3 linked regions of the Bombyx mori genome follow. The protein of the gene in region 1 purifies or fractionates together with the protein of each later gene. This does not show direct contact. Links are inferred from orthologs where the notes say so. Each region holds a gene or a part of one and is shown in the gene's direction. Other genes may lie near its edges.

The links.
Region 2: the proteins of DnaJ-15 (region 1) and 116 kDa U5 small nuclear ribonucleoprotein component purify together in Homo sapiens (affinity purification with mass spectrometry; 4 studies listed by BioGRID and IntAct, with this or other methods). This does not show direct contact. The link is inferred for Bombyx mori from reciprocal best matches to the Homo sapiens genes DNAJC17 and EFTUD2.
Region 3: the proteins of DnaJ-15 (region 1) and cell division cycle 5-like protein purify together in Homo sapiens (affinity purification with mass spectrometry; 3 studies listed by BioGRID and IntAct, with this or other methods). This does not show direct contact. The link is inferred for Bombyx mori from reciprocal best matches to the Homo sapiens genes DNAJC17 and CDC5L.

What each region holds. Positions count from the first base shown.
Region 1 is NC_085124.1:8,540,759-8,544,470, forward strand, and holds DnaJ-15 (uncharacterized protein LOC101739460), read left to right. Parts: upstream 1-1,388; 5' UTR 1,389-1,448; coding exon 1,449-1,523; intron 1,524-1,991; coding exon 1,992-2,598; intron 2,599-2,731; coding exon 2,732-2,919; 3' UTR 2,920-2,954; downstream 2,955-3,712. Other genes in the region: CWF19-like protein 2 homolog, read right to left, coding at 2,955-3,089. UniProt on the Homo sapiens protein: May negatively affect PAX8-induced thyroglobulin/TG transcription.
Region 2 is NC_085121.1:1,483,781-1,488,128, reverse strand, and holds the start of 116 kDa U5 small nuclear ribonucleoprotein component, read left to right. Parts: upstream 1-1,526; 5' UTR 1,527-1,659; coding exon 1,660-1,850; intron 1,851-2,079; coding exon 2,080-2,309; intron 2,310-2,798; coding exon 2,799-3,050; intron 3,051-3,320; coding exon 3,321-3,578; intron 3,579-4,007; coding exon 4,008-4,249; intron 4,250-4,348. Other genes in the region: nucleolar complex protein 4 homolog B, read right to left, coding at 759-867, 963-1,085. UniProt on the Homo sapiens protein: Required for pre-mRNA splicing as component of the spliceosome, including pre-catalytic, catalytic and post-catalytic spliceosomal complexes. Component of the U5 snRNP and the U4/U6-U5 tri-snRNP complex, a building block of the spliceosome.
Region 3 is NC_085115.1:11,711,701-11,716,142, forward strand, and holds the start of cell division cycle 5-like protein, read left to right. Parts: upstream 1-1,582; 5' UTR 1,583-1,840; coding exon 1,841-1,885; intron 1,886-1,968; coding exon 1,969-2,234; intron 2,235-2,759; coding exon 2,760-2,890; intron 2,891-3,466; coding exon 3,467-3,626; intron 3,627-3,839; coding exon 3,840-4,008; intron 4,009-4,196; coding exon 4,197-4,331; intron 4,332-4,442.

The sequences.
Region 1 (3,712 bases):
TAGTTACCAGGTCATAAAATCCCATAAAAAACAGTCACAGATAATACATAGAATAGGTACCGTAAAATGGGGCGATTAGGGACAAATTCCAACTTTATGAGCAATTTTAAGGTAGTTGTTGATGTATATAATGCTATATCAGGATCAAAATGATTGAGTCTTGGGGGCATCTTTGTTGTCTAATTTAAAATTATGCAACTAGCATTCCAGTTTAAGCAAAAAATGCAAAAATAGGTGTAATCCCTATTTACCCGAAAATTGCGGTTAATTGGGACGAAATGAGAAATTTGCTAGGGTTGGCACTACTTGTATTTTTATATATAGTTTTAATTTATTTATTTATTTAGTTGCACCAACAAAGTGATCATCAATAAAAAAAATAGAAAAACTGACAAAAGTACATGGCAGACATCACCTCAATTATAGGTGCAATCGACAGTGCAGTAACAACAAAAAAAAAAAAATATATATATATATATTTACACATATATAGTGGGCTTTCTTAGAAACGGTTTATATTTCTCCGTTCTTGGTAAGTACTTAGGGGCTGATATTTCTATCTGGGTTAAGAGATTAGGTGTGTCGGTTATTCCATGGATTAATCAGATGAATACCCCCACTCTGAACAAATATTAAATATTTTATTATGTAAGACATTTTTGTCCACCTTGAGATTTCATTGATCTTGTTACATGTCTCTGCAAAATCGACTTACTTATATTAAATTGCTTATCTATTTCAACTAAAGACTTATTCCCAATTTCGCTTCGATAAACCAGATTTTTACCAACAAATTTAAAAAATATTGTTATAACTACATAGACAACCCTACAAACCTGTACCTATTTATACTTAGGTCGTTTCCATTTCACGTATGCTCATCCCAATTGACCCCTTTTTCGTTGTTATTTGTACCTAAGACGTCCCCAATATCCCCAAAAACAACAGATTTTTACATGTATTTTTATTTAATCAAATACATTAAAACCAATAACAACTGAGACTTACCTTTAATATATATGCTGGTTCAAACCCTAAATAACGTTTATAAATCATCGTCGTCTTCTATTATTATCAAATAAATAAAAGAGAGTAAAGTTTCTAGCACTAAAATAATTACCACCACAAGAAATTTAATTTGAAACGCGATTTTTTATAAGTTAGCAGCTATTATCATGCATATGCAGAGTTGTTTTGTGAACTTTCAACATTCTACTATTAAACTACAAAAAAATGGAAGATTTTGCAACGAATATAAAACTTATATTGAGCGTCGAAAGATTTTCCCGGTTTTTTCCCGATTCGCCTTTCAATCCCTAATCGCCCCATTTTACCGGTACATACTCAAAAACTGACAACACAGTAAACGTCAGTTGACTTCGTCTAATAAAAAATCCGACTATAAAACTCAAACAAAAAATAATATTGACTTTGAAAATTTAAATAAAATGACGAAAATAAATATTGAAGAAATTGACCTATATGCTGTGCTTGATTTACAAATAACTGCAACCGAATCGGAGGTAAACAAAGCGAACGAAAATACTTATTACATTCTACGTCTACTACCAGCCTTCGTCATGTACTTTAGGCTTAATGAGTCGAAAGGCAACGGTGGTCAAGGTCGAGGACCTTAGTCGATTTGTTTAGATTTCGCCTTGATGTAGCGAGGAACGATATTAAGCGGCTACCGGTGCCTATAGGCAGCACATCGTGAATATGTACCTCGAGACATTTGTGATTAACTGGTGGTAAGGTAGTCAAATTCAAATTATTTATCTCAACATGAATGCCCTATGTCTTGAACTATGTGTTAAAAAATGCCACAGCTCTGAGAAGAATGAGCAAACAAACTCAACTAGCTTGTATTTCTTTCACATTTGTGTTCACTAGTACTTAGGTCCATGGTGGCTTATCCATAAACATGGTTTTGTGACCAAAATCATGGTGATAACTAAACAGGTTAAAATTGATTTTTATAATATTTCAAGATCAAAAAAGCATACAGAAAAAAGGCTTTACAATGCCACCCAGACAAAAACCCAGATGACCCTAAAGCGGCAGAAACATTTCACGAATTATCCCAAGCATTAGAAATATTAACTGATACTTCTGCTAGAGCAGCTTATGATAAAGTGCTACGTGCTAAAGCTTCCGCAAAGTTAAGGCATCAAGAATTAGACAGTAAAAGACAAAAACTCAAAGAAGATTTAGAAAAACGAGAAAGAGAAGCAGCATCTGGCACACATACAAACCTTACAGATTCTCAGAGACTTGCAAAAGAGATTGAAAGGCTACAAAGAGAGGGAAGTCGTCTATTATTGGAAGAGCAACAAAGAATGAAAAATGAAATACAAAAAAGTGTAGAACGAATGAAAGAACCTGTTTGGGATCCAAGTTTGAATAGAATTAAGATTAAGTGGAAAGTTGATAAAACTGATCAGAATAATAGTACTTATGATGAAGCTACATTAAGAAAGTTCTTGAAGAAATATGGTGACATTGTTGCTTTAGTAATATCATCCAAGAGTCGAGGTAGTGCCTTAATAGAATTTGCTACTAAGGAAGCAGCAGAAATGGCTGTTCAGTTAGAAAAAGGTAATCTAAATAGTATTACTTTTTACCTACAGTTAAGCTGCCCATGTTAGCTGGTCTCGATACTATAAGAGACATTAAAAAGTTCATGAAATATTTTTTGTGATAAAAATTTATAATTTGAGTGTCATTTCAGGCCTACCTGACAACCCTTTAACTTTAAAATGGGTTAATGATAGACCAGTGCTTACTACCAATAAAACAGTCAATGGAGAACCATCTTTGGTATCAGATAGAGATTATGAGTCTCTAGTTTTCAGAAAAATGAGACAAGCTGCAGAACGACAAAAACTTATTGAAGAAATGATGAAAAATGAAAAATAAAACAAAATAAGTTCTAATTATTTATTAGTAAAACACTATTTTTTTACAGGATCAAATGGTTTCCAGCCATTTATAAATTCTAAGACCTTCTTCCTTTGCACATCACCATATTCTCGTTGTGGGTTTTTCCATGCTCTATGATCTAAGTCCAATATTCCAGCAATTATTTCCTGTAAATGGTAAAGTAAAAATAATGTCTGTTTTTGATAGGGGGCTTAGATATAATTTTTATAATTAGTCTGGCCATAAATACTTTTACATAAAAACTTTTCTTTTTTCAACTTTTTAATTATTTTGAATTTAGAACAAAATTTAAAAAAATTCTTTCGATTTCGCGCCATTTCACATTTTTCGTCTTCATTACTTTTTTATTTATTACATAGATGGGTGGACGAGCTCTCCGCTTACCTGGTGTTAAGCGGTTATCGGAGCCTATAGACATTACAACGTAAGTGCAGCCTTGAGATATGAGTTCTAAGATCTCAGTATAGTTACAATGGCTGCCCCACCCTTCAAACCGAAACGCATTACTGCTTCACGAGAGAAACAGGCAGGGTGGTGGTACGTATCGGTGCAAACTGACAAGAGGTTCTATCACCAGTAAAAATAAAAAATAAAATACACAGAAATATCCTCTTTACCAATGAAAAAATATTCACTATTGAAGAACACCACAATAAGCAAAATCAGTGTCATCAAGTGTACGCTCACAGCTCTAAAGAAGCTGCCTAAGTGGTCGGAAAGGTACAACGTGGTCATCATCCTGCGTTAGTGATGGTTTGGTGAGGCGTGC
Region 2 (4,348 bases), on another chromosome or scaffold:
ATATGTTCAGCTTTTTAAAATAAAATAATTTGTTATCTATGTTCTGCTTCTGTAGGTTTGTGATTTAGAAATAGTACGAAAGTCATAAGTAATCAATAATAATTTTATGCTACAGTTAGATATTTTATGGATTTTAATAATAATCAGGGAAAAACATTGATTTCAAAATATATTTCTAAAAAGTCTAGTTCTCCATTAAAGTGTGGAGTAGTTTTCTTAATTCATTTTAATTTCTATCAAGCAACTAACACAATTGAGATTTTGATTCAAAATATGCTAATGATAGCTTCACATTGAGTTTAATTTTGACAAAATAAGTTATAAAATAAGATAACTAAACCTGAAGATAATTAAATAGACAAACATATCTACAGAAACGACCTTGAAACTAGTGACAGCCCACACAATAGCAAATTGCAAACTTTATTTAGTAAAAAATATATTTATATGACTACTTTTTTTTTCAATTAAAAACTGAATCGTTAGTACTTAAAATCCCAACGTGTTAGCTTCGTAATTACGGTTCAACTGCAATAATTGCAGTATTTCATATATTTATTCAAATGTTTTTTAAAAGCAAATGTCAATTAGTATGCAGCTAAATTGACAAATTTAGACAGCAACATTTTTCGCAACGTAACACAGCTTACATACTACGTAAACACAACGTATATCTACGTACAGTCAGGTTCGCACCATGCTAAAATCGATATATTCAATTCAAAAACACATTTTCGTGCGGCAAAACAAAATCATACCTGCAGGCTTTAATGGAACTATTTCCTGGACTAAATCGCCCCGTTTTAATAGTTCGGTGAATATTACTTCTATTGTAAGCATTAGCGGCGTATAATTGTCTGTTTCGACCTGTAATATAAATGTTAAAATCACGAATTACAAATGTAACCTATGACGCATTACATTTTTCGTTGTACTAAATGAACAAGGGATTTCATGCTCACCTCAAACATCTGCAATATATCAGCAAGATTGTTCGCATGTTTTCTGGAGTTAAGAAACTCATTTGCTTTATTACGAAGCTGTCCCGAAATCATTTTCGAAAAATTTTGTTGCACAGCAGCCATTTTTGTATTGAAAAGGATTGACAAAAAGTGACAACTGATCAGGCGGGCAACCTTAGAAAATATGGTTTCGTTTAGTAATTAGGTAAACGACTAATGAACATGCCTGTGCCTAGGAAACTCTTATTTTATTTTCTAAAAATATATTAATTGAAATCAAAATCAGAATTAATAGCTTTATATTAAAGTAGGTTCACATCAAATCTTTTTAATCGTTTTAACTATATTATCTAAAAAAACAAACCACTAGAGCAACAATGTAAGCTTGCATTAAAATAATCTCTGTGAAAATACACAAATATTATTACGAAATATTAGTTTAAAAACTAACCATAAGACATTTAAATGATATTTTTTGATAGTATTAAAACATTGCTAAATTATTAGTGCTGCTCTTTACCTATGTTTTTTTCATACAGTCCAATTCGTTTATTTTCGTTTAGAAATGAAACCAGATTTTAAGGTTATCTTGCTGTCAAAGTCAAAACTTGTTCAAAACAATCTTTAGAGCATCGGCAGTTGTTTTGGATAATTATTTTTCGGAAATATTTTCAAAATATAGTTATCAATATTAAAAATGGACGGAGATTTATATGACGAATTTGGAAACTACATCGGGCCAGACTTGGAGTCTGATTCTGAAGACGAACAGAGTGTATATGGTCAGGATAATCGTGAAGGTGATGAGGAAGCAATGGAGGAGGACGAGGACGCAGACGCGGAGCCCGAAGTTGCGCCTATGTCCGTCGTTCTTCATGAGGACAAACGGTAAAACTTTTTCATTTAAAACTAACAAATAAAGCGGCCTTACAAGATGTTAACCCACTTTACCGGTACTAGCGACGCACATGCTAGACCATAGAACAAGCACACTCAGACCTCGAATACCTAATATTTTTAACAAAGAAAAAAGTACTGAGAAAAGCTATGCTCTGTTTTGGTATTTGTTAAAATTAGTTATTGATTAATAATAACATTATTAACCATCAAACTTCAGTTACTATCCTCAAGCTGTAGAAGTGTATGGACCCGACGTAGAGACAGTCGTCCAAGAAGAAGATACACAGGCTCTCGACAAACCCCTGGTAGAGCCTGTGAAACACAAGAAGTTCCAGGTTCAAGAACAGCAGCTACCAGAGACCACCTACGACATGGAGTACATGGCTGACATGTTAGATAATACTAACTTAATCAGAAATATTACGTTAATGGGCCACTTGCACAATGGTATGTGATGTGATTTCAATGAAATAAATAAGAGACAAGTCATCCATGAGCTTTTTGTAGAGCTTTTATTTGTTAATAATAAATTAATTTGATTATTATTATTACATTTTCTATAATTACCATTCAACTTATAATGTTGAGTTTCATAAAAACTACTTTATACTATGTACACACAGATAACCGTAAAATCTTTAAAGTGTATTGAATAAAATAAAATGAAACTATTGGAATTATATTATTATTATTATATATAGAGGCCTATTTTCTGCAGTGGACGGCGATAGGCTGAAATGATGATGATGATGATGATGATGATGATTAAATGCAAGAAAACTGAAGAAAAGACTAAGATTTAAGTGATCAATATTAATCTAAAATAGGATTTAGTAACAAAAATAAAAAAATGTGCAGATCAGAAAAAGAAATTTCATATTTCCTATCGAAAATTAGTGAGTGTTATTTGATCTTCTTAAAACTGTTTTATTTCAGGAAAAACATCTTTTGTAGACTGTCTCATGAGACAGACACATCCTGGAACAATTAACAATGAGACAACAATACCTATAAGGTATACAGATACTCTGTTTGTGGAGCAAGAGCGAGGAGTGTCGATAAAGTCCATGCCGGTAACATTGCTATTGAAGGATATAAAGGGAAAGTCACATTTATTGAATATCATGGATACTCCAGGTCACGTGAACTTCAGTGATGAGGTGACTGCTGCTTTGCGGATATCGGATGGTAATTTTTTTACTGAAGAGGAAAGCTTATTTGTGAAATACTTATCAATTCTCAATACTCATAAAAGCAATTTAACCAACAATCAAAGTCATGTGTGTTTCTTTATTTGACATTATAACCATAAGTCGACATCTGAGCATTTTTAATTGTTGAGGTTATTATCAAAAATGTACACGCTTCACAAATGCTGCCTATGAAAATTCATTTTAAAATATTTTTTAAAAAGAGGTTTCAGTATAAACAAATACAGGTTAATTTTGTCTTTTATAGGAGCGGTACTCTTTGTGGACGCTGCTGAAGGTATAATGCTCAACACGGAGCGAATGTTACGTCATGCAGTACAAGAAAGAATTCATTTAACTCTTTGCATCAACAAAATAGACAGGCTAATGCTTGAGCTAAAATTACCTCCTGCAGATGCCTATTATAAGCTCAGGCATATTATTGATGAGCTGAATTCTATGCTGGAGACCAATCAACCTCAGGATAATCCTGATGAGCCTCCAATTGTATTTTCACCACTTCTGGGTAAGTTATTAGTATCTCCTATAGCCAGGTTTGTCACCAACCATACCTGGAGTATAAGTAACAACAATTGTACTGTACTAAGTTTCATGTCAATTGGAATGGATCAATTTCAAATAAACATTGTGTCTTAGATAAGGTACAGAACATTGCCAAAAGTTGTTTTTTTTTTTCATTTTTATTTTTTTTATTTTTTTATTGCCTTTGTAGGCAGACGAGCATACGGCCCACCTGATGGTAAGTGGTCACCGTCGCTCATGGACGTCAGCTTAGCCAGGGGCAGAGCCAAGCCGCTGCCTACCATAAAGTACTCTTTGGACCAAATGTGAATTCAAATGGTAATTATGTAGCCATCTACACAAATAAGAGAAATGAATACTTTAATCCATTTTTAAGGCGATTGCTAAGTTGAATGAGTATACTGTTGTCCAGGTAATGTCTGCTTCGCGTCAACATTGTACGACGTGTGTTTCTCTCTGGAATCGTTTGCGGCGATGTACGCTGCCTCGTACCCTGCGTGCGGACTGCGGGCATCCGACATGGCGGGCTGGCTGTGGGGCGATGTCTACTTCAACGCGAAGACTAGACGCTTCACGAAGAAACAACCTCATGCCTCTGCTCAGAGAAGCTTCGTGGAGTTCATATTGGAGCCGCTGTACAAGATTTTTGCTCAAGTAATTGATTGTAAATAATAATTAATTAGAAAATATCAACAATCCATGGATTGACCCTGCAGATACCGGACCCGTTATGGTGCGGAGAGAGGTATTTAG
Region 3 (4,442 bases), on another chromosome or scaffold:
AAAAATGTTTATGGTTTGTGTATAGTCTACAGAAGTTTGTGTCATATACAGAGTGTCCCAGAACTCAACATCTAGCCGAATCGGGGTGACAGGATTGATTGTAACCATGCGTTTGTTATCAGCAAATGTCCCTACACGTAAATTCAACAATTCCTGAATCACGGTCATAAGATGTCACACAGTTGATAGATGTTCTCGTATTTCTCTTGCTAAATCAAAAGAATGGAAAGCAGTCGACATCACCCCAAACACGTCATTTCGGATCCTCCCGATCCACTAACGGTGCTTTTAGGTACCTCAAGCACCGATCACCGTTCCCGTCGAACCCGTCGCTTGCGAGGAAGGGCTCGTCGAGTAAATTAACCCTCAGACACAGCCCACTGAGTTTCTCGCCGGATCTTCTCAGTGGGTTGCGTTTCCGATCCGGTGGTAGATTCTGCGAAGCACGGCTCTTGCTAGAGTTCGTGTTAGCAACGTCGTCAGATTTGAGCCCCGTGAGTTCACCTACTAGTTAAGGTTCTGCTGAAATAGCCTCGCAAGGCTATCAGCTTAGGTAGGAAAAAAAAAGCTAAATCATACTTACCTGGCGTAGGGATACCGTGATTATGCAGGCGGTTTCCACAGGGTGAGGCTGCTCCATTGCACTGCGGGTTGGTTGATTCTTGCGATTATTTTAATTTTTATAAGTTTCACTTCTACCGTGTCACACGTAATGTGTGTGACATGCACACACACATTTTTTTCTTCTGATTTTTCTCATGATGGCTTTTTTTTTCTTTTTTTTTTTGGCTTAGATGGTTGGACGAGCTCACAGCCCACCTGGTGTTAAGTGGTTACTGGAGCCCATAGACATCCACAACGTAAATGCGCCACCCACCTTGAGATACAAGTTCTAAGGTCTCGAGTATAGTTACAACGGCTGCCCAGCCCTTCAAACTGAAACGCATTACTGCTTCAGGGCAGAAATAGACAGGGCGGAGGTACCTACCCGTGCGGATTCACAAGAGGTCCTAACACCAGTAATTACGCAAATTATAATTATGCGGCTTTTATTTTTATTACACGATGTTATTCCTTCACCGTGGAAGTCAATCGTGAACATTTGTTGAGTACGTATTTCTTTAGAAAAATTGGTACCCGCCTGAGATTTGAACACCGGTGCATCGCTCAACACGAATGCACTGGACGTCTTATCCTTTAGGCGACGACGACTTCATATGAGAAAACTTGGGGCAGTTGTGTCATTATTTTTGAGTGCGGTTCTAGAAATGTTATGTAGGGTTACGGTTCCAAAGTTTAAATGAACAAAAATAACAAAAATTAACCACAATAACCGAAAAATGGTTAAAGTTTGACCAAATTTCTAGGTTTTTAATGGCCATAATTTCCAAACTGGATGGGATAGATTTTTTTTCTGATTTTTCTCATGATGGTTACAATCAATCCTGTCACCCCGTTTCGGCTTGACGTTGAGTTCTCACACACCCTGTATAGTTTAACAAATAAGATATGACCTAAAGGTCTATGTTACGTTAGGTCATAAAATAAAAAATATATATATTGAAATTTTTATTTTACCTATATCTTGTGTATGTATTGTCTATGGATTAAAGGCTATATGGGCTTAGATCCCCTTGCCTTTCCTAATAAGGAAAATTTGTACAAAAAAAAATGTCGATGGATTATAGAATTTAGATTTCATTGATTTATCCTTACATCTCAATTTATTAAATTTTCGCTAAATGGAGACGTTTTAATGAAAATTATTGCATATTTAAGTAGTAGTTATTCAAATTTAATTGATTTCATTTATTTATAAGCTGAATAAACACTATCCAACATGCCCCGGATTATGATAAAAGGTGGCGTTTGGCGCAACACCGAGGTTTGTTATTTTACTATTTTGTATTCTTTATTAATACTTTCTTATGATTCCTTAATACTAATGTTATTTGTGTGTCACTTTAGGATGAAATCCTTAAAGCGGCTGTAATGAAATATGGGAAAAATCAGTGGTCTCGTATAGCTTCGTTGCTCCATCGTAAATCTGCAAAACAATGTAAAGCCCGTTGGTACGAGTGGTTAGATCCAAGTATAAAGAAAACAGAATGGTCCCGAGAAGAGGACGAGAAGTTGTTGCACTTGGCCAAATTGATGCCAACTCAGTGGAGGACCATTGCTCCTATCATCGGACGTACTGCTGCACAATGTTTGGAAAGATACGAATATTTGTTGTAAGTAATTAATTATCTTGTTAAGTTTGAGTTCCTTGTATCTAATAAAACAGAGTAAAGTAGTTAGGTTTGGTTTCAATCACTCACATAGGTATCTGAAAAAGTTGCTTTGGTGTTAGCATCAATAATTAATCACACTAAACAAATCAGGCAACAGTAAGCAAGATAGATAGTGTAGAACTAGAGATCTGAATTGACCATCTTGTAGTTTGTGTGATGATTAAATACAATTATTTTAATATTCTAAATAGACAGATGGGGTTCATAGACATCATAATGTGAATGTGACTGCCATACAGCTTTAGAAATAATGTGGAAATCAATTGTTTTATGCAACGGCTATCTCGCTTTTCAAGTTTAAAGCATTCTTCTTTCAAGCATATTTTCCAGTTTAAAAATGCTGGATCTTCGGCAAATGGAACAGAAATGGAACAAAAACACAGGTTCACAACACAATCTGTCAGACCACAGATGCTTATCTATGAATATTATAAAATTCTGTAAACTCCTTTAATTCTCATCTAGAGACCAAGCCCAAAAGAAAGAGGAAGGTGAGGACATGGGTGATGATCCACGTAAGCTGAAGCCTGGTGAGATTGATCCTAATCCAGAAACAAAACCTGCTAGACCTGATCCAAAAGATATGGATGAAGATGGTAAGCAAATCATATTTGAAAAATCATTTAGTCTTTTAGTTATGAATTCAGTTAATAATGTGAATTTAGGTTAGAGTTCACTGTATAGTTTAGTATATTTTTGCATAATTGAAAACACAGAATGTAAAAAGAACCATTAGCTCTTAAAAATGAAGACAAGTTAGTGATAGTTATGAATTCCAAGTATGTTGATGATGCACTTCATGCTGATTTCAACAACAGCAACAAGTTTTTACATCGTCCCATAAGTGATATACTCATTTTAGCTGTATATCTTTAAGAATGTATGTGTGAACAACATCAGAAGTTTACACGTGCTGTGTTTCATTTTTGTGTCACAATGATCTTTTTCCTTCAAATTTATAAAAATGAAGACTAGATAAAAAATTATTGTTGATCACGATATAATTTTGGCTTTAAGAGTGATACTTTTACACCAGCTAGAGAGGCCATTTAGAAAATGTACACTATAGACTTTGAGGGTAAAGAACGAGTGCTGTACATGTACTTCACAGCCAAAGCTTAGAATTGTATTGTTTCATGATTTTTGATTATAATTTTATTCTTGATAACTAGAATTGGAGATGCTCTCAGAAGCTCGTGCACGTTTAGCTAACACTCAGGGTAAGAAAGCTAAAAGGAAGGCTCGTGAAAAGCAATTAGAAGAGGCCCGTCGTCTTGCTGCACTACAGAAGCGAAGGGAACTCAGTGCTGCTGGGATAGCTGTACCATTAAGGTTTAAAAACACAATAAGTTATATGTATATGAAATAGACAAAAAAAAGTAAATATTTTACATTCAATTGGTCGTGTAAAATTGAGTAACATTTTTATATTTTTTAAGATTGTCTTTGCATAGGCGGATGAACAAGCTGATAGCCTACTTGCTGTTATTATTATTATTATTTATAATAATATTATTATTAATATAATGCTTCATTGTTCCCCAGGCGTAAAAAAAAACGTGGCGTTGATTATAATGCTGAGATACCATTTGAAAAGAGACCAGCGTCTGGTTTCTATGACACTTCGACTGAAGTAGTTGATCCCATGGCTCCTGATTTCTCAAGACTCCGACAACAACACCTTGACGGTGAATTACATTCTGAGAAAGAGGAGGTTGGTTACATGTACTTAATTTATACTTAAAGTTGTTAAGTTAGGGAAGTAAGGAAGTAGGGAATATGAGATGCTGCTTCTATCTACATTTTTTTTATATTCATGTATATTTTTTCTACCTATCTATTCTGTGGTTAAAAATTATAAAGATTTTATTTTATTACAAAATTTTATTCTAATATTTTTAGAGAGAACGTCGCAAGGATAAGCAAAAGTTAAAACAACGCAAGGAAAATGATGTGCCACAAGCCATGCTACAAGGTGATGCTCCGGCAAGAAAACGCAGCAAACTTGTGCTGCCAGAGCCACAAGTTACTGATCAAGTATGTTATTTTTTAATTCCATCTATCAAAAGTAGATCTACTGTGATCATTGATAGACCAAATATCAAAAACTTTAAATAACTGTTGAAAATTAAAATATTGAAGAGAAAT